Linked DNA regions of Schizosaccharomyces pombe. The protein of the gene in region 3 interacts with the protein of the main gene of each other region in a pairwise test. Each region holds a gene or a part of one and is shown on either strand. Other genes may lie near its edges. The genes, in order: cdc5, nrl1, cwf4 and prp43.

Region 1 (5,179 bases), on a different chromosome or scaffold from region 3:
ATATTTGAATACTGTTGTCAATTTGGTTAGTCTTCCTTCGGTATTCTTGTATGTCCAAAGCAATTTCGACTGCAACGTTATCGTGTCTAGTTCGAATGGTATTTAAAAGGTATGCAAAATTACTATTAAATTTTAACAAAGATTCGGGCCAATTACAATCAACGCCATTATCTTGGTCAGAAAAATCTGTTTCAAAATAGCGACCTTTTGAAGAGTCTAAATGAGTATTTGCAAGCGAGGGATTATGAAGAATTTCAGAGTCCATTAAACTTGACCTCCATTTCGGGGCATTGTGATATCGAGCGTGCTTTGGAAGACATTTCGGTAGTTCCACTCCTTTCAGTTCAATAATTTCCTTCAACCAGTTAGCTTTGTTTGATTTCTGGTTATGTTTCGACAAGTATCGAACATGCAAATATACACATTTGACCTACCTCCATAGATCTACCGTAAGCAGCCTTTACGGAAGATATACGCTTCATACTTCGTAGCATCGGTGAAAGATTCTGCAGGTCTTGGATGCGCCGAGCCAAGCGAATGGGCAATTCATCTCGCAAAAACAAGCCAGCCCGGAAAAGTGTTCCTGGTGTAGGGTTCTTGCCTTCATAATAAAAATTAAGCAGTCAGTATAAAATTTCTAGTATGAAGTAATCTAAGAAAAATTAACTGAGCAAAAATTCTTACCAAAATACACTAATTGCTTTAAAGACAACCCTGTTTGAGGATATTGAGCCAAGAGATTGACTTTCTCCTGTAAAGTTTTCCCGAGCACTGACATTTCTTTTAAACCTTAAGTTTTTCTTTAAATTCGATAATGATAAATAGAACAATTGTTCAATCGTAAACTTTGTTGGTTTGTCTAACAAATAGATGATAACCCATGGACGAGCATAAAAAAAGCGGCAATTTGCAAAATATAACCTAAAGAAAGTAAAAGATGAGCTTCAGAAACAAACAAATAAAGCAGTTTCTTAATGTTTTCACACAGAATCTAAGAAAGCTTTTGCTAAACTAATGCATTCATATGTTTGCAAAGTACCCATAAAAATAATGAACTTGAGTGTATTCCATTAAAATTGAAATGCGTGATACATTATACTTCTTTTGCATTGCTTATTTTATTTTTCACAATACTGCTAGCTACACAGTTTGTTATCTAATTTAAGGATACGTAGAACTGCGGTGAGTTTTCCTTGTGGTCTATTATATTACAATACACAGGTCGTATGAGTAGCAACTGAGTATAGGTATTGTATTAACTAGGTTATAAAATGTTACCTATCACTAATATAGCTTATAACTGAACCTCGTTCCTCAGTTCAGTTAAAACTCTATTTATAATATTTCTAAATAGTTGCTATCAACGGGTATCTATGTATATAGACGGATAGTTACCCGTGATGATCAATAGACGGATCTTAATTAGTATTCCAACATATGACATATAGTGATATGTAACGTAGTGTAGTATTGCTGACAAATACGCGGTCATTAGGTTACTTAACGATACACATAATACTGCAATGCTTGTAGTTACTTGTTGATATACCAACCATAAATAAGAGGAAGAGTATGGTAGATCCACCTTCAAGATAAACATATTTGATCATTGCTATATCCTGCTTGTCAAATATTTTCTTAATACTCAACGGTTAGGAATATTCAAAAAAATTTAATGTTGTCCAACGATTTTGCGCTATTATATTTTTGCGATAAAGAAACATGTGCTACATTGAAATAATTTAAGGTAAATATGTGATACGTAGCAAACTGGAAAAAACAATAAAATGAATATTTGGTTTGACTATTAGTGTGTTTAAGAAACTGTTCTTTTAAAAGTTAAAACTACTTTAAATATAAAATATAATTTTGGTCACTTTCTGCTGCACTCGACATTTACCTCAATTTCCCATCCACCCTGTTTCGTCGCAAGTTGTTACAGTTACTACAAACCTCCATTACCACGCTTTCTGACAATTGTCAGGGTTTTGGCGAATATTTAGAAAATGGTTGTTTTAAAAGGAGGTTTGTAACTTTTTTTATTGTATTTTCTAACATAATTTAGGTGCCTGGAAAAATACAGAGGTAAAGACTATGATTTTAACCTTCTACCACGCGCAATGTTTTTGTTACTAACTTATTGGTAAACAGGATGAAATCTTAAAGGTATTTTTTTATTTATTAGTTACATATTTCCTTTAATATTTAGAATACTAACGCAAATTCCTAGGCTGCTGTCAGTAAATACGGTAAAAACCAATGGGCCCGCATAAGTTCATTGCTGGTTCGCAAAACTCCTAAACAATGTAAAGCTCGTTGGTATGAATGGATCGATCCAAGCATTAAAAAGGTATGTTAAACATGTAATCACTATTTGTTATTTGACAAGACCTATTGTTAACATTTCCTTCACATTTAGACTGAATGGAGTCGTGAAGAGGACGAAAAATTATTACACTTAGCTAAGTTACTTCCTACACAGTGGCGGACGATTGCTCCAATTGTAGGTCGGACGGCCACTCAATGTTTAGAACGCTATCAAAAACTTCTTGATGATTTGGAAGCGAAAGAGAACGAGCAGTTGGGATTGATCAGTGGAGAAGGTGCAGAAGCAGCTGCGCCTGTTAACGATCCAAATTCCCGGCTTCGTTTTGGCGAAGCAGAGCCCAATTTAGAAACCCTACCTGCACTCCCTGATGCCATTGACATGGATGAAGACGAAAAAGAGATGTTGAGTGAAGCACGTGCACGTTTAGCAAACACACAAGGAAAGAAAGCCAAACGAAAGGATAGAGAAAAGCAGCTTGAATTAACTAGAAGATTGTCACATCTCCAAAAGCGAAGAGAATTGAAGGCAGCTGGAATCAAGTATGTGTTATTATTATTACTTTATTGTATTGTTTTTCCTTCATTATGTTAATCTATAACTTAGTATAAAGCTCTTCCGTCGAAAGAAGAATGAAATGGATTATAACGCTTCTATTCCATTTGAAAAAAAGCCAGCGATTGGTTTTTATGATACCTCAGAAGAGGACAGGCAAAATTTTCGGGAAAAGCGAGAAGCGGACCAGAAGATAATTGAAAATGGAATACGGAATAATGAAATGGAATCCGAAGGTCGAAAATTTGGTCATTTTGAAAAGCCAAAACCTATTGATAGAGTAAAAAAGCCCAACAAAGATGCCCAAGAAGAAAAAATGCGACGTCTTGCCGAGGCTGAGCAGATGAGCAAGAGGCGGAAGTTGAATTTACCTAGTCCTACTGTGTCTCAAGATGAACTGGATAAAGTAGTGAAACTAGGCTTTGCAGGCGATCGTGCTCGCGCTATGACTGATACGACTCCAGATGCTAATTACAGTACTAATTTGTTAGGAAAGTATACACAAATTGAACGAGCTACTCCATTGAGAACACCAATTAGTGGTGAACTTGAGGGAAGAGAGGATTCAGTTACAATTGAAGTTAGAAATCAATTGATGAGGAACCGCGAACAATCTTCTCTCTTGGGTCAGGAAAGTATACCTTTACAACCTGGTGGTACTGGTTACACAGGAGTTACTCCCAGTCATGCAGCTAATGGCTCAGCTTTGGCAGCACCTCAAGCAACTCCTTTTAGAACACCACGTGACACATTTTCTATTAATGCAGCTGCGGAGCGAGCAGGACGATTAGCAAGTGAAAGAGAAAATAAAATTCGATTGAAGGCTTTGCGAGAATTGCTTGCAAAACTACCTAAACCTAAAAACGACTATGAACTAATGGAGCCTCGATTTGCGGACGAAACTGATGTTGAAGCTACTGTTGGAGTGCTTGAAGAAGACGCAACAGACCGAGAACGTCGTATCCAAGAACGTATTGCAGAAAAAGAAAGGTTGGCAAAAGCGAGGAGGTCACAGGTTATTCAAAGAGATTTGATTCGACCATCTGTAACACAACCAGAAAAATGGAAGCGTTCACTTGAAAATGAAGATCCGACTGCAAATGTTTTATTGAAAGAAATGATTGCTTTGATTTCATCGGACGCCATTAATTATCCGTTTGGAAATTCAAAAGTGAAAGGAACGGCTAACAAAGTGCCTGATTTGTCAAATGAAGAAATTGAGAGGTGTAGATTGTTACTAAAGAAAGAGATAGGGCAACTAGAAAGTGACGATTATATCCAATTCGAGAAGGAATTTTTGGAAACGTACAGTGCACTTCACAACACCTCAAGTTTGTTGCCAGGCTTGGTAATCTACGAGGAAGACGATGAAGACGTTGAAGCCGCTGAAAAGTTTTATACGAACGACATTCAACGAGATTTAGCTAAGAAAGCATTGGAATGTAACAAGTTGGAAAATCGGGTTTATGATTTGGTTAGATCTTCATATGAGCAACGTAATTTTTTGATAAAGAAAATCTCGCATGCTTGGAAGGCTTTGCAAACAGAAAGGAAAAATTTAACGTGCTACGAATTTCTATACAATCAGGAGCGATTAGCTCTACCTAATAGGCTTGAAGCAGCTGAAATAGAGCTAAGCAAAATGCAACAAATCGAGGCGTATGCTCAACAAGATTATGCTAGGGTTACTGGACAAAATTAAACTTCACTTCACTTTGTTTTAAATAATTGTCATAGCTTATCATTCATAGTGTATATTATCATGCCTGAAATAAAACGAAAGTTTTATAAAAAGATAATCCAAGCTAGAGAAAAGTAGAAAAGGAATAAAGGGTATACTGCCAACAATTTTTTGTTGGATAGATTAGAATTTTGTAAAACACCCATAGCAGCGAACAATGTCCAGGCATACATTGCAACAATCACAGGTATGCGTATAAATATTAAGGGAACGAATGCACAAACTATAGAAGCAATCATTAAAGGGAAAGAGGAGTACCCCAATATACACATAGATTGAAAAATGCTAATGTTGGCCCCTAGTAATTTTATATTTAAAGAACAAACCGCTTCCCCAAACCATATGAGCGCGACAACGACTGTAAAAACAGATTCTCGTTCAATCTTGTCAGTAGACAAGGCAAGTGCTAAAGCAATTACGAGGGAAAAAATCAAAGGACCCCACAAGTCCCAGTCGCGTAGTACTTGAGCATTTTTGGGATACAAAACATAGACGAGTTTTTCACCAATAGCTCTAAATTCATTAAATAATGTAACACGAATGGGTTCGTCCAGAGA
Region 2 (5,432 bases), 480 kb from region 3:
TTTTGAATTTTTTTTGCAAACATCCATTCTAAAAATTTGTTAATTCCAAAAGTGATAATAGAACAACAACTCACTGTGTAACTGAGATACAATTTTTCGAATGTAAGTCTTGACCTCTTCATCTACACTGACAAGCATATTTAATCCATATTTCCGAACAACTTTGAAGTCTTCTGCTGGGTAAATTCCTCGTTGAAAAAGGATTGAGTTCACCGCATATTCTTCATTAAGTTAGCATGGCATATTTGAAACATTTACAAACCAAAAAATTCGCTAACAAGTTTGGAAGAACCTTTCAGTGAAAAATTCGTTCTTATGGGAACGCTAGACATGTTGTGTTGTAGATTTTTGTAATAAGCAATAGGTTGTGTAGTAATTGAGTAGGTACTGCCATGATGGTTGCTTAGAGGTACCCTTTCAACGTAAAAGCAACCATATAAGCATTTAACAAACAAAAGTGAAAACTTTAATAATAAGACTACTAAAGCATTTACGCAAACTTGAAAGTAACTAATCTGTCATTTTAAACTCATTTCACTATCTCTATCATTAAAAGTCATTGATCGTAATAATGTCAGTTTGGGGACAAAATAAGTTCATCTCCTCTTTCAAACTTTAAAACATCTCTCCTTATTTCGTTATGGACTCTAAAGCCTTTTTCCAACATGATTATATAGCAAATAATAGCCCGACTCTCCATCTCTTTTTTCAAGAGCAAGTCTATAACGTCCATACAAACCCCTAAACTTAGTCAGTGAAATGTTCTATGTTTTTAATTAACTTACCTTTATTACAGGGGCAGGAAGCCAATGCTTTGGTGGTAATCGCCGAAACCCATTCAGTACCATTTAATCGCAAATTGAGAATCTTTAAATATATTCTCCAAAACTTGGCGACGGATTTCAACTTTTCATTATTTAGAGTGATATCCAAAGTCCTTAAAAAGTACTGTGAGTTTGTTGGCTCAATCTGTTGAACGGCAACATAAAAAAGGTACCAACAAGCTGTAACAACAGCATTTGAAGCAGATTTTAAAATTTTCATAGCCCTAATTTTTGGTTTGTTCTCTTGTCTCAACTTAGATTCAAAAAATATATAAACTTCCCATATAGCCGTATTTGCACTGAAAAGTGTAACTCCCTTTTCAAAAAAAGGTCGAACCTTGGGTAGATTATAGAATTGAAGAGTGGTAGCTTGATAATAAAAAATCAATGAACAATAAGAAAAATAGCATTCCATTTCTGAAGAAGCCCCCCATCCATAGCTTTCGAATTTTTGAATGCATAAATACACACAATTATCCATTGAATCCATATCAGTACAGTGTGTCCATATAGTATAGATAAGACAAACATACAGCAATTCTTCCTTGCTGGCGCAATTTTCCAACATACCAAATAGCATTTCGGATGCTCGATTATTATCGCTAGTTAAAGATTTATCACCAGGAAACAACAGGCATTTTATAATAACTAAGCATCCTTCAGTATCATTAATAAGTAGCTTTCTAAAAGCCCAGTTTTTGTATACATTTAAATTATCAATGTAGCGCAATTGGGAAGCATGGATCTGAAAAATTGTTTTAAAAATTGTTTCAGCCATAGTAAAAGCACCACTTAAGTGTTCCAATTGAGCGTAAGTGTTCCAAACAGACACTGAACTATCGTATTTTTTGAGAATCTTCTTTACAATTTTACTGAATTTGGTTAGAAGGAAACAAAAACATCTACTTACTTCACTTGGGGTTTCTCCTCACTTAGGTTCTTCGTCTCCATTTGCTTTAAATAAATTAAATAAACGCTCGCTAAATACTCATCGTCCGCCGAAAATACTAGTTGATGAAAAGCACGCTCCATTGATTCCTTCACATGATGTGCAAGGTTGTAATCAAATAACTTGAAATTTAAATTTTTAAACGACATAAGAGAAATGAAGAGATCAATGTATGAAGGTAGTATACTACAGGGAAATTGAAAGCTGTTTTTCTCAGCTATCTGTCCATTTATAAAGGATTCACTGGAAGCCATGCCAAAAAGCAAGTTGTAAATTCCTTTGTCATAAGAAGCAAACCATGAGTTTGTTGAAATCCCCGGTGGAAAAAGAGGTACTCCGCAAAATGCAAAAAATTTATACTTGAATGCGAAAGCAATCGTTTCGCTTTCAAAACAAACTATAAAGTCTTGTATGTCATTGAAGACAATATACCTAAATGGATCATCTATTCCTGAAAGTTTTCGACAACTCATGGTACTACGTGGAGGAGGATTAGTATCAAATTTGCTTTCGTTAAGATACCATAACTTAACTGTTTGAAATATTCCAATTTCTGAACTGAAATTTTGATTTTGCTGGCTGGACTCATCATCAAGGACGTTACACCATCCCCTAGCATTTTCTTCAGAAAACTTCGGAGTATCTGAATTCCAAAATTTAGAAAAGCTTTCAAAAAAAGTACTGTCAAGTTTTTTTTCCAAATACCGCGGATAAAAATAACATAACTCCATGTTAGCTTGAAAAATGGACCAAGCAAGCTCATAGTATCCGCAATTCTTCAGAAAATCGCATAGTCGGATAAGCAAATGTAATATGGCCTCCTCTACTTCAAAATTGGAAGTTACGTCTGTCGATTCTCTTTCCTTACACGATTTTCTATCGGATAATTTTTGCTTTAAAAATTTGAAGCACTTAGAAAACATGTTTAGACAATCATTGAAAGTAAATTCTGATATTCCAGTAAAATATTCGGCATATTTCATCCACAAATTAAGATAACCTGGATGCTCAATCAATACTTCTTCGAATTTCTGATTAGTTTCTTCTTTACTCCATTCTTCTGAGCCCAATTGGAGATAATATGAAACCAATATTTCATGATCACATCCTTTAACTTCTTTAAGTGCCTTTTCCAGAATTGATAGTTTTACGCTTCTACTATTGTTTTCAATCTTCAGTTTACCTTTAATGTCGTCGGAATTGCTCCGTCGAAATTCATCAAACAAAAGTCTTTCTTGATACTCACACATTTTTATCCATAACCTTGCTTTTCCTGGGTTTTTTTTTATTTCTTCATCTGTTTCCTTAATAGCCTTCAGAATATTTAAAGAAAACGTTGACTTCTCGGATGGATCCGAGTTTCTATTAACCAACAATGGAATAAATCCCTGCTGCCCATCTTCAAATTCACTTTCATCGTTTTCTTTTTCATCAAAGCTTCTTTCTTCATCATATTTGATTTCCAACGATTTTTTCTTATTCAGGGTTATGCCCTCCTTTGACTCTTTGACTATTCGTAGCAGAGGAGCAGATCCATATACGGAACTTGAAGATCTATGATATTTAGGAACGGGCCTCTTATTAATCCCGTAAAGTAAATTTTGCTTTTCTCCTTTCGTGTCTACAGCGAAATTACTTTGAATTGATCGATGCGAAGGGAAACTCGATTTCGCATGATTTGAGGAAACTTGATCATGAGATGATCGATATTTTTTATTGCTCTTTGTAATTGGATTTTTTTTTGCCTTGACTGAGTTAAAACTCGAAAATTTTGGAACAGACGTGTTATGATTAGACGGCATTATAGGTGTTTATGAATTAATAGAAAAAAAGTACAAAGGCTCCCATAACTAATATTCTTTGAAATGATCCAAATATACTAAATAGTTTCTGCCGTATATACCAGTATAATTTGCATATGCTCGTTGACAAAATATTTGCTGGCGTTAGCAGCAACACTTGGTTATTAGCATCAACTAACGATTAAGCTAACACTTAATGGCAACATTCTTCTTCAACGTTTTACTTTTTTAATTTTAAAAATTATTAATCTAAAAGCCAATCTTGGAGAGTTGTGCTTAAAGGTTGAAAGATTTGCTCGCGATCAAATCCTTCATGAGGAAACTGGGCAAATTTTGTACTTCAAAATCTAATTTCGTCATCTAGCTTATATTTGAATAAAAACTATCACAAAAAACCCACGATATGTCCTCCATTGATAAACGGGATCTTAGAAAACGATATAGGAACTTAATAAACAAAGTTCAAGGTCATGTACAGCTTTACTTTATAATTTACTAACATTTTAGCAGAAAGTCGTTTGGAACTGGTTGATGAGGAAAACAATAACTTATATGAAACTATTACTACTGCTAATGATTTATTTTCTTCAGGTGAATATCAGTGTATCTTTGTCAGTTGTTAACATAATTAATAGTTGATGCTCCTACTGAAGCAACCTTAGATGCTTTACTGCTTACTAAAACGGTTGATCTGGCTTCCATTAAAGCTAGGCAGCTTCATATTGGAAGGCCCAAGTTTAATATTGAACTATTCACAAAAAATATTAAGCAATTCCTCAACTATCCTACTTCCCACTCGAATGTTACTCGAATCCAAGAAATTGACACAGCATGGTCAAGACTAGGGAAATTGGCAAGTAATTGCGAAAAACAGCCCGCTTCTCTGAACTTGATGTATGTAAAATAGTTTCTCCAATAGCGTATCTAACCTCTTTAGGGTCGGTCCTTTATCATTTCGCAAGAAAGAAAGAAACATCCAGCGGCGAGAAAGACTACAAAAAGCCCCGAATGTGCTAACTCAACCTACTATGGTAATTTTTATTTTTTTTATATTTTCTAACTCAAGAAGCTGAATGAACGTAACATTACTACCCAAGAAAATAACACCACTAAAAATGTCTTGCACATATCTCGTTTACTTCAAGCACACCAGCCTGTTAATTTTTTGAAATTCATCACCAATCCTCAAAGTTATCCTCAAACAGTGGAGAACTTGTTTTATGTCAGCTTTTTATTCAAAGAAGGCAAAGCTGCCCTCGTAGAAAACGAAAGCGGGATTCTCATGCTTGGTAAATCAATTATATTTAGAATTTGAACTATTATTAACTTGTAAGAAACACGCATTCCTCCAACGGACGATCAAGTCGTGGCAGGCGAAATAAGAAACATTCAATTGGTACTGGATATGACAATGGATTTGTACGAGGTGGGTGTATTCATGTTTAAAAATTTTTCTAACCTCTCGAATGACAGAACATAATTAAAGAATACAATATCAAAGAAAGCATTATTCCTACTCGAGCACCCGTTGAAACATCTACTAACAGTAATACTTGGTATGGCTGATACTAATACAACAATCTTTAATTTCAAGTTTAATTACCCATATTTGACATAACGCTTCGTAATTAAGATAAAAACAATATATTAATAGATGATAAAAATAAGAGCTTTCCATAACCCAAACCTTTTATACAATCAAGTCAATTCCTTTCTTTTTTAACAAGAAGAGATCTGATTCAATAAATAAATAATAAATAATTTTAGAAGCAGCAAGAATATTTTTTGCATCAAAACTTTTAGGTTATGAATCCACATGATAACCAAATAAATAAATAAAGGCAGAACGTTGGGGAA
Region 3 (4,550 bases):
GGCTATAGGAAGTCGGGAGTGGGATTCAAGTGGATTACTGCAAAGCAATACTCAAACCGAAAGTCAGCCGCTCAAAATATATGAACACCGAACTAATAATGTTTTAATGGATTCTGGAAGAGGAAAACTATTACAAAAAATGGTAGCTGATGCAATCACTGAAGAAGGTTATGATGATTTTGAGACCATAGTTACTATTAATCATTTAGAAAACAAAATCGCTTCTGCTCGATTACTTAAGTTGGATGATGAGTTTTTAGTAACAAGCGAAGTTTATGTCAGACTATTAATGCATCATGGTCTTTGGCAAAAATTGGAGGAATTTTTAGGAGAGCTACGAACTCAAACAAAATGTTCAATTAAATTATCAGGAAGAGAAGTTGTTGCAAAAATGTTAGTGGTTTTACGACAAGCAGTACAAACTGATAATGAATTTGATCGTGCAAACAAATTAATAGAAAAATACGCATCAACCTGAAAAAAATTGAGGCTATTTTAAATTTGACTTTTCTTTCTTGCATTCTGTTTAAGTCTAATACAATACTCATTGGAAAAATCTGAATAGTTTTGAAAGCAAAATAATGCATTAATTTTATTCTTTTAATGTCTTATACTATAGATGTTATTCTAAAATAGTCTTCCACTGTGAATATTAGTTAACATTACATTCCAATAAGCAAGAGGAAATTATAAATGGTTTAAAATGTAAATCACATACCAAGTTGTCGCCAAGATAATGCACATTTTCTATGCCGATTCCTTTATTAGTCTCTTTCCTAAACAATTCAAGCATGTTAGTTAATAGTTCAAGTTATGAGTGTCAATAGTATATTACATTTCTTTAGCAGACATTTTTGTAAGCCCAATTGCAGCAGGGGCTTCCTTTCCCTCAGCTGTAACAATCACATATTGATCTTTTTCGATGTCATCAGGCAAATTGCCGCCTTTGGAAACCAAGCCAGGAATCATAATATTGGCACCCGAGAGAAGGAATTTGATAGCTCCTCTGTCTACTCGAACTTGAGTAAAGGCATCCGGACCTAGGCGTATTAGTATATATTTGAACTAAACACAGATATGTTGTTGTCGATTCTGACCAGCTAGACAAAAACCAGAACTCCAATCAAACGTTGCGGTTACGTTAGCTTATACTCACATTTATGAACAAGACGAAGAGAAGGAATGATAGGGCCGTCGAAGTGCTGGAAAAGGATAATTTCGCCATTCAAAGTATACAAAAATAAACGATCCTCACTTAAACAATATCAGTACGACATACTAAAAATCACGGATGCTGATAAGAACGAACCATTTTATTTGAGTTAGTTGTGATTTTTTGGGAATTAACTCATCGATAACTTGTTTTAAGTTAGGATAAGCTTGTACTAGTTTTGCTTTTATTCCTCTTTGAATAGAAGACTTGATTGGAGTAGTTCCCTTTATATCTTCTCTAGAGTTAAATCTGTTGAGGTTAGCAATCATCCTACAAAATTATAAATCCAATTTAGAGCAATACCGTTTGAACATATTATTGAGTATATAGGAGCTGCAGACCATTGCTACAATAAGTTACTAGGTTGTAGCCGCGGTCTCCTCTCGGATGATCCGCGGTGTTGCCGATTACCACCTCGAGGGTTACAAACGTTAGATATATTCATTCATATTTGTGCACGTTTTTGTCTTCTAACAGTAAAAGCCAACTGGTTAAGAGAAGACATAAATCTAGCATATTATTTATTGAGTAATTGTACACTATAGAGATCCAGAATAATATAAGATGACTTCGGAAGCGCCCAGGGTAAAAAATAAGAACCCAGCACCCATCCAAATCTCAGCTGAACAATTGCTCCGAGAAGCTGTAGAACGACAAGATGTGGCGTTTGTTCCTCCAAAAATTAATATCACTGATCTTGAGGAGCTTCAAGAATTTCAAGGTCGAAAACGTAAAGAATTTGAAGATGCCATTCGACGGAATCGTCTCGCTATGGGCCATTGGATGCGATATGGTCAGTGGGAATTAGACCAAAAAGAATTTGCGAGAGCTCGCTCTGTTTTTGAAAGAGCTTTGGATGTAGATTCTACTTATATACCGTTATGGCTGAAATATATTGAATGCGAAATGAAGAATCGAAATATCAACCATGCCAGAAATTTATTTGATCGTGCTGTTACACAGCTTCCCCGTGTTGATAAACTATGGTACAAATACGTATATATGGAGGAAATGTTAGGAAATATCACCGGTTGTAGACAAGTATTTGAAAGATGGCTTAAGTGGGAGCCTGATGAAAACTGTTGGATGAGTTATATTCGAATGGAGAGGAGGTACCATGAAAACGAACGGGCTCGTGGCATATATGAACGATTTGTCGTTGTGCATCCTGAAGTAACGAATTGGCTTCGTTGGGCTCGTTTTGAAGAAGAATGCGGAAATGCTGCAAACGTTCGCCAAGTCTATTTGGCTGCTATAGATGCTCTTGGTCAGGAGTTTCTGAATGAACGGTTTTTTATTGCTTTTGCAAAATTCGAAATTCGTCAAAAGGAATATGAACGAGCTCGCACCATTTTCAAATATGCAATTGATTTTATGCCCCGATCAAAATCTATGGAACTATATAAGGAATACACTCATTTTGAAAAACAATTTGGAGATCATTTGGGCGTTGAGTCTACTGTGCTCGATAAGCGTCGATTACAATACGAAAAGCTATTGAAGGATTCTCCTTATGACTATGACACTTGGCTTGATTTGCTGAAGCTCGAAGAAAGTGCAGGGGATATTAATACTATTCGCGAAACCTACGAAAAAGCTATTGCTAAGGTTCCTGAAGTAGTTGAAAAGAACGCATGGAGACGTTACGTTTATATTTGGTTAAACTATTGCTTATTTGAAGAGATAGATGTGAAGGACGTTGACCGCGCAAGAAAGGTTTACCAAGAAGCTCTCAAGCTTATACCCCATAAAAAATTTACATTTGCCAAATTATGGCTCATGTATGCAATGTTTGAGCTTAGGCAACGTAAGATTGATGTTGCTAGAAAAACGTTGGGTCGTGCGTTGGGAATGTGTCCAAAACCAAAATTATTCCGAGGTTATATTGAATTCGAAGACGCAATTAAGCAGTTTGACAGGTGTCGAATTCTTTATGAAAAATGGATTCTTTATGATCCCGAGGCTTGTGCTCCCTGGCTTGGTTACGCTGCCTTAGAGACTAAGCTTGGAGATAGTGATCGTGCTCGCGCTTTATATAATTTGGCTGTAAACCAGCCTATTTTGGAAACCCCAGAGCTTGTGTGGAAGGCTTATATTGATTTTGAATTCGAGGAAATGGAATACGGAAAAGCTAGAAGTATTTACCAGCAGTTACTACGGACTGCACCTCATGTTAAAGTTTGGATTAGTTTTGCAAACTTTGAAATTGCCCATCTGGAGGACGATGACGAAGAACCACCGAATGAAGAAGTGGCTTCTCCAACCGCTGTTGTGCGTGCGCGAAATGTTTTTGAAAATGCATTGGCCCATTTACGCCAGCAGGGTTTGAAGGAAGAGCGAGTTGTATTACTTGAAGCATGGAAACAATTTGAGGCAATGCATGGCACGGAAGATACACGTAAGCATGTCTCTTCACTAATGCCACAGGTTGTTAAGAAACGCCGTAGACTTGAAGACGGTTCATTCGAAGAATATTTGGACTATCTGTTTCCGGATACGGCGACTGATCAAGGAGATAAGATGCGCAAAATGCTCGAACTTTCGCGAAAATGGAAAGAGGAAATGGCTAAAAAGAAGCTGGAGGCCTAGATTACATATGACATTTATTGGCGCTATCAGTTTAATATTTAGTAATCGTGTAAAATATTAGTAATTAATTGTTTACGAGGCAATGGGTCATGTAAATGGACGTTGTTACGAAGTTGAGGATATTCAGCGCTTTGGACTGTTCGGATAATAATAAAATAACTGTTTTTGCATTTGAAAGGCCGGAATGGCGCGTAGAAATAAGACAAGCAATCCATATTAGTATTATTAACCTTGAGTTTCGATCTGAGTTTACTTACTAAGCAAGATAAGCGAAAAATTTATGGATATTATGTTGAGGGAATCACACTTGTAGAAATGAGAAAGTTGTAAACATGACAATTTTGAAGAATCCAACGCAATTCGTAAATAACACATTAAAATACAATAAAATGAAAAATCCAATCCAAAATATATTTAATATGTACATATTTATATTTATAAATTGATTGTTCTTTACCTTGCCCCATTGACATACGATCGAGTATCTACCAGTGCGACTAATTTTAGTTTTGTTACTCAAAGTGGCAGGACTCACAGGTAAAGAAGCGGCTGGTTTGGAGTTGTGCTGATCTGATGAACTTGTCAATCAAATGAGATTACAAAATCTGACATTGGTTATTTTCAGCACTGACAGCTTATTCGGACCGGTTTACCCAAATGTTCTGCTAAAGTGAATTTACAGAATACAAAAATCGGCTTATGCGACCAACGTATTAGGCAACATTTTGACTTAAAAGAAAAAATTCAT
Region 4 (4,818 bases), 1.5 Mb from region 3:
TTAAATCGTAAAGGTCCGCATTCCGTGCTAAAGTTACGAACGTAGCATTCTCCAATTCCTTCGATTTCAAATTTCCATCTAATAAACGATCATTGTAATAGTTTAAACGCTCCTCTAGTTTATACACATTTAAAGTATTCACCAATGCTTTTGGTATTGAAGGAAAGAGGATGTATGTAATGAAAAGTATCACGAATCCCAAAAGTACTCTAATCAGCAATCTTGATATCCGCATTTTTTTTTGATAAATACCGACTAACCCAAATAATCTACAAAAATTTTAGTTTTTCAATGCTAGTATTTAGCTTCCATTATAACTGCAAGACAAAATGAATATCAATTATTTTACCTTCGGTTATTCACTTTGCTCTAGTGAAGTCAGTAATCACATTATAGGTGTCAGGAGAGGCCTATACCGTAGGTCAGAAAAACTAATACACTCATATTTTTGGCATAAAGCTGCACGACTTTTTAAAAAGTTTTTTAAAAAACATGTTAATAATTATTTCGGAGGAAAAGCCTTTAGATTATAAATAAAACTGCTAACTTAAAATTACCGCGGTTACCAATACACATTATTCATTGCATATGAAAAGTAGTTTCAACTGTAGAAATATTTTATTAATTTTAGTTCTGGTTTAGCCCCATGCAGTAATATACACTGATATTACCAAGTCTAAATAAATGTAGAGATCAAAATATAAAGGATCGAATTAAAAAATATGTATAAATATCCCAAGTCAACAAAATAATTATCCAAAACACCATTAAAAGTAGACGCTATCCACTTCTTCTAAATATTTGTAATTCACCGAGCAGTAAATTAGATTTTAACGTCGAGCGTTCTTTTTTGATCTAGCAGCCATTTGATATACTTTTTGGAGTGCTGATTTGACTTCTTTATTATTGTCGAAATCATCCAAATCATAGTAATTGGGAGCTAGTTCTATTAACCATTCAGGACGAATAGCTGTGACATTTCGAATAAAACTTTTGGTAGTAAGTACAAATTCATTATAAACCACCCACTCTGGAGTCACTGACAAACCACATGAAGGATGCAGTGAAACCACTTGATTATCTTTCATAGTCACATAGTTTTTACCATTTGCAGACTTTTTGGCAACTTGCATGAAAAATCCACTAACAAGAGCACGGCGGATATTTACATAGTAGTTTTTGTCATCAAAAGGGGTAGATATGAGTTCAACCTCTTGACGTTCCATTGTCCTCCGCAATTGTTTTCTTACATTGTCAGCACTGATTAGCGCTCTATGCGACAAGAAATGATTCCAACACCAGTCAGCAGTCCCTTCACCTGATTTATAAGCATGATAAACGTTCAATAAGGTCAAGTGATCACCATCAGGATGAGTAAATTGTTGTCGCATCTCATCCGCTAATTTCCTTGCAGAGTTAGGTCTGACGAAAACATTAGGAACAGATAAAAGAGCTGTTAAAGATAAAACTTCGTTTGAGCAATAAAACTCTGGACTTCTGATAAGCATTACAGCCAAATTTGGATCAAGTGGGAATTCAGACGCTTTACGACCTAAAGGAGTCAAGTCGCCATTATCGTCCAGACAGTTCAAATAGTTCAGCTCTTCTAAAGCACGCATCATAGTCTCCGGAGCGGGTGGATCCATATAATCAAAATGAACGAGGTCATCAATACCTAGTTTCTTCAATTCTAAGACAGTACTCGAGAGATTGCTGCGTAAAATCTCAGGATACGTTTGCTCAATCAATTCTTTGCGAAAAGCTTCCTCTGTGTAAAGGCGGAAACATTTACCAGGTCGAGTACGTCCAGCACGACCAGCACGCTGTTGTGCACTGGCTTTGCTAATAGGACTTACAAGCAAAGACTCAACTCGGATTCGGGGATTATAAATTTTTTGTTTACTAAAACCAGGATCCACCACATAAACGATACCATCGATAGTTAAGGATGTTTCTGCGATGTTTGTAGATATAACTACTTTACGGCCGTAACCCGATTTTGTATCTTCCGGAGTTGGTTCGAATATACGTTGCTGTTGATTTGGCGGTAAAGAACCATAAAGTGGATACACCTTCAATGGACCAGCGGCTCCTTCACGTACAAGATCATCAGCTTCCAAAGTAATCTTACGGCAAGCATCTTCAATCTCTTCTTCACCTGTAAGGAACACTAAGATATCACCGGGGCCCTCTTCAACATGAATTTGAAGCACTGTACGAAGCGCGGCTTCTAAATAATCGCGCTCAGGTTCTTGGGTATAATAAATTTCAACAGGGTAAGTTCTACCTGGAACAGCTAAAAGGGGAGCATCAAAAAAGTATTTTTGAAACTTTTTAGCATCCAAAGTTGCAGACATGACAATAATCTTAAGGTCGGGTCTACGTGTAGCCAAACGCTTCATTAGACCCATCAAAATATCAGTTGCCAAGGTACGCTCATGTGCTTCATCAAGAATAATACAAGAATAACGAGAGAGCATATGGTCTGTCATGGCTTCACGCAAAAGCATACCATCTGTCATATATTTTAACAGAGTGTTAGGTCCACTACAGTCTTCAAAACGAATGTTGTAACCAACTTCCTCGCCCAAGTCAACGTCCATTTCGTCAGCGACACGTTTTGCAACGGACATAGCTGCAACACGACGTGGTTGAGTACATGCAATTTGTGTATTTGTTAAATGAGGCAATTCATCATAAAGAACAAACTGAGGAATTTGTGTTGTTTTACCAGAACCAGTTTCACCAACGAAAACAATAATTTGATTCTCGTGATAAATTTTGAGAAATTCTTCTCTTTGCTGGTATACAGGAAGCTCTCTTCGAGTTTCCAAAATCTTAAAATAATTTTGACTAAAAGGTTTATCATTAAAAAAATTGTTTGGTCCTTCTTCAGCCTTAGCTGCTTGTGCAACAGTCGTAGCACGTCGCGTCAACCCTTTCGAAGAAACAACTTCCTCAGAATCATCACCATTGTTTAAGTGTGCCAAATACGGGTTCTTTGACTCTTGCCTTAGTTTCTTCTGAGCTGGTTCCATAGTCGAAAATCGCCCTTATATAAACCCTTCCCACAATTCTGTAAATGGCGAAGAACACAGTGCATACTCCGTACTACAAGCAGTTAAAGAATTTTCCAACAAACCATCTATCTTAACATTCGTTATATAAAATTGAGTGGCATAACGCAATGCGTTGTTAATTTTCAAGTTCGGACTAATATAATACATTAATGAAAATTAATTAACTAGTATAGTAAGCAAATGACAGGGTATTTCAGTTGAATGAATTTGCCTGTTAATTAATTGTGTAAAAAGGAATGTTTAAGAACAATAGTTAAAATTCTGGCAAATCGTTTAAGACAATAAGTATAGGAGCATTACTCCTTCTTTCTCAGCAAAATCTTGATTGTAACAGCTATCCTAAAACTAATCGACTTTTGTTAAATTCAGATTTAACTAAATCCAAAAAATTTTTATAATCAAAACTCCAAAAAAATGGTTTGAAGACCCGTTTTAAACCATAAACAATAATGTAAAAGAAGGACTATTAATTTTTAATACATATTACACGAGAACGCTTTTCCGGAAATGTTGTGGACCTCCGTAGAAGACAACTTGATTTGACTTCCATTCCGCAACACCAGATAGGCATTGGCACACCACTCAAACCAAACCCGCATACCGTCCGTCAATCGCCACATGTGAAATTCCAATTGGCTGTTTTCTGGGACGTACATGGGTTTCTAGGAAATATTAGTATACAGTGCAACGTAAAATATAGTAACTTACCTTAATGGGCATATAAATAGGGAACCATGAAAACATGTCAGGAGACTTCGCTTCCATAGTTGCTGGCATAATTGAAAGAGAAATATCCTTATATAATGTAGCTTCAAAATATCCTGCAAAACCGTGAAGGATTCCAGGACTAGAGGCCTGAAAACGAACACTAGCAAAACGTTTGTTATGCAAGTTTTTAGTATAAACCTCACTATCTTTGTTTGGGTGATGGAAGGACCAAAGGGACTGAAAACGGAACTCATCATCTGCAGCCAAAAAGTCAAATGAGTTCATTAAAACCACGTACTGTCTTTCAAAAGCATTTGGGTCATTCATATTACGAGCTTCAGACCATAGCTTAGGAGACATAATAGGAGTAACATAGGAGATGTAAGAAGATGGAATGCATATCCCAGTTTCTTCATCAAGCACATGTTGTACACCATCTAGACACTCCGGACTAAGTTCATTGTCTCCCATACTACCCAAAAGTTCACTAACAAGGATGTCAATTTTATAATCAGGATTCCATGTTCTCATATCTCCAAATACTAGAGTAACTTTGCCAGCCCAATCCTGGCGGTTTCTCATCAATAGCATGGAAAAAGCGTTAGGATTTTTCTCAAGGGCGATCATATCAACCGTTCTAGATGAAGAAATTGCCGCACGTAAAGCACAGTCGACTAATGGACCTCTTCCCGCACCCACAACGGCAATTCGCGTGACAGAAGATTCGTCTCTATCCATCAACGCAGAAAAAATTGCTTGCTCATACTGGGCGTACTTAACGGGATCTCGCTCAAATATTTCATAAGTAATGTTTTCCAAATTGTAGCTCAATGGTTGAAGAGGAACTTGCAGATAGTCTTTATAAGAATCCGCGAGATCTTCTACAAGTGGAGCTGGAGGCTGTGAATCAAAGAGGTGCTTCATATATATGCTGTAGTCGGGGGAATCACCTATTTTCTCGGGTGCGTCATTATCCCAAAGTAAAATTCGAGGATTGAGACGTAGATATAAAGCATAAATAGCCCTCAAC

What was found.
Region 1: the proteins of cwf4 (region 3) and cdc5 interact in binary tests that used the Schizosaccharomyces pombe proteins (3 or more experiments, as listed by UniProt).
Region 2: the proteins of cwf4 (region 3) and nrl1 interact in a two-hybrid assay, tested with the Schizosaccharomyces pombe proteins (2 studies listed by BioGRID).
Region 4: the proteins of cwf4 (region 3) and prp43 interact in a two-hybrid assay, tested with the Schizosaccharomyces pombe proteins (one study listed by BioGRID).

The regions. Positions count from the first base shown.
Region 1 is NC_003424.3:2,692,752-2,697,930, forward strand, and holds cdc5 (splicing factor Cdc5), read left to right. Parts: upstream 1-1,947; 5' UTR 1,948-2,006; coding exon 2,007-2,025; exon of another isoform or gene 2,026-2,065; coding exon 2,066-2,085; exon of another isoform or gene 2,086-2,142; intron 2,143-2,151; coding exon 2,152-2,166; exon of another isoform or gene 2,167-2,230; coding exon 2,231-2,350; exon of another isoform or gene 2,351-2,419; coding exon 2,420-2,868; exon of another isoform or gene 2,869-2,932; coding exon 2,933-4,583; 3' UTR 4,584-4,666; downstream 4,667-5,179. Other genes in the region: [pyruvate dehydrogenase (acetyl-transferring)] kinase Pkp1, read right to left, coding at 1-355, 435-601, 685-778; SPOM_SPAC644.13C (Rab GTPase-binding protein), read right to left, coding at 4,667-5,179. UniProt on the Schizosaccharomyces pombe protein: Involved in mRNA splicing and cell cycle control.
Region 2 is NC_003423.3:3,289,175-3,294,606, reverse strand, and holds nrl1 (NRDE-2 family protein), read right to left. Parts: upstream 3,722-5,432; 5' UTR 3,576-3,721; coding exon 1,735-3,575; intron 1,697-1,734; coding exon 786-1,696; intron 742-785; coding exon 575-741; 3' UTR 501-574; downstream 1-500. Other genes in the region: mitotic spindle checkpoint protein Mad2, read right to left, coding at 1-28, 75-221, 263-332; nse4 (non-structural maintenance of chromosome element 4), read left to right, coding at 3,979-4,042, 4,086-4,166, 4,211-4,469, 4,513-4,606, 4,645-4,864, 4,910-5,001, 5,049-5,141.
Region 3 is NC_003423.3:3,770,285-3,774,834, reverse strand, and holds cwf4 (protein Cwf4), read left to right. Parts: upstream 1-1,685; 5' UTR 1,686-1,777; coding exon 1,778-3,802; 3' UTR 3,803-3,979; downstream 3,980-4,550. Other genes in the region: histone chaperone Hip1, read left to right, coding at 1-478; RNA-binding protein Tma20, read right to left, coding at 623-643, 719-776, 836-1,040, 1,157-1,254, 1,310-1,462, 1,517-1,527. UniProt on the Schizosaccharomyces pombe protein: Involved in pre-mRNA splicing and cell cycle progression. Required for the spliceosome assembly and initiation of the DNA replication.
Region 4 is NC_003423.3:2,277,983-2,282,800, reverse strand, and holds prp43 (ATP-dependent RNA helicase Prp43), read right to left. Parts: upstream 3,097-4,818; 5' UTR 3,039-3,096; coding exon 831-3,038; 3' UTR 562-830; downstream 1-561. Other genes in the region: alpha-1,2-mannosyltransferase Omh2, read right to left, coding at 1-235; protein arginine N-methyltransferase Skb1, read right to left, coding at 3,554-3,742, 3,789-4,818. UniProt on the Schizosaccharomyces pombe protein: Pre-mRNA processing factor involved in disassembly of spliceosomes after the release of mature mRNA.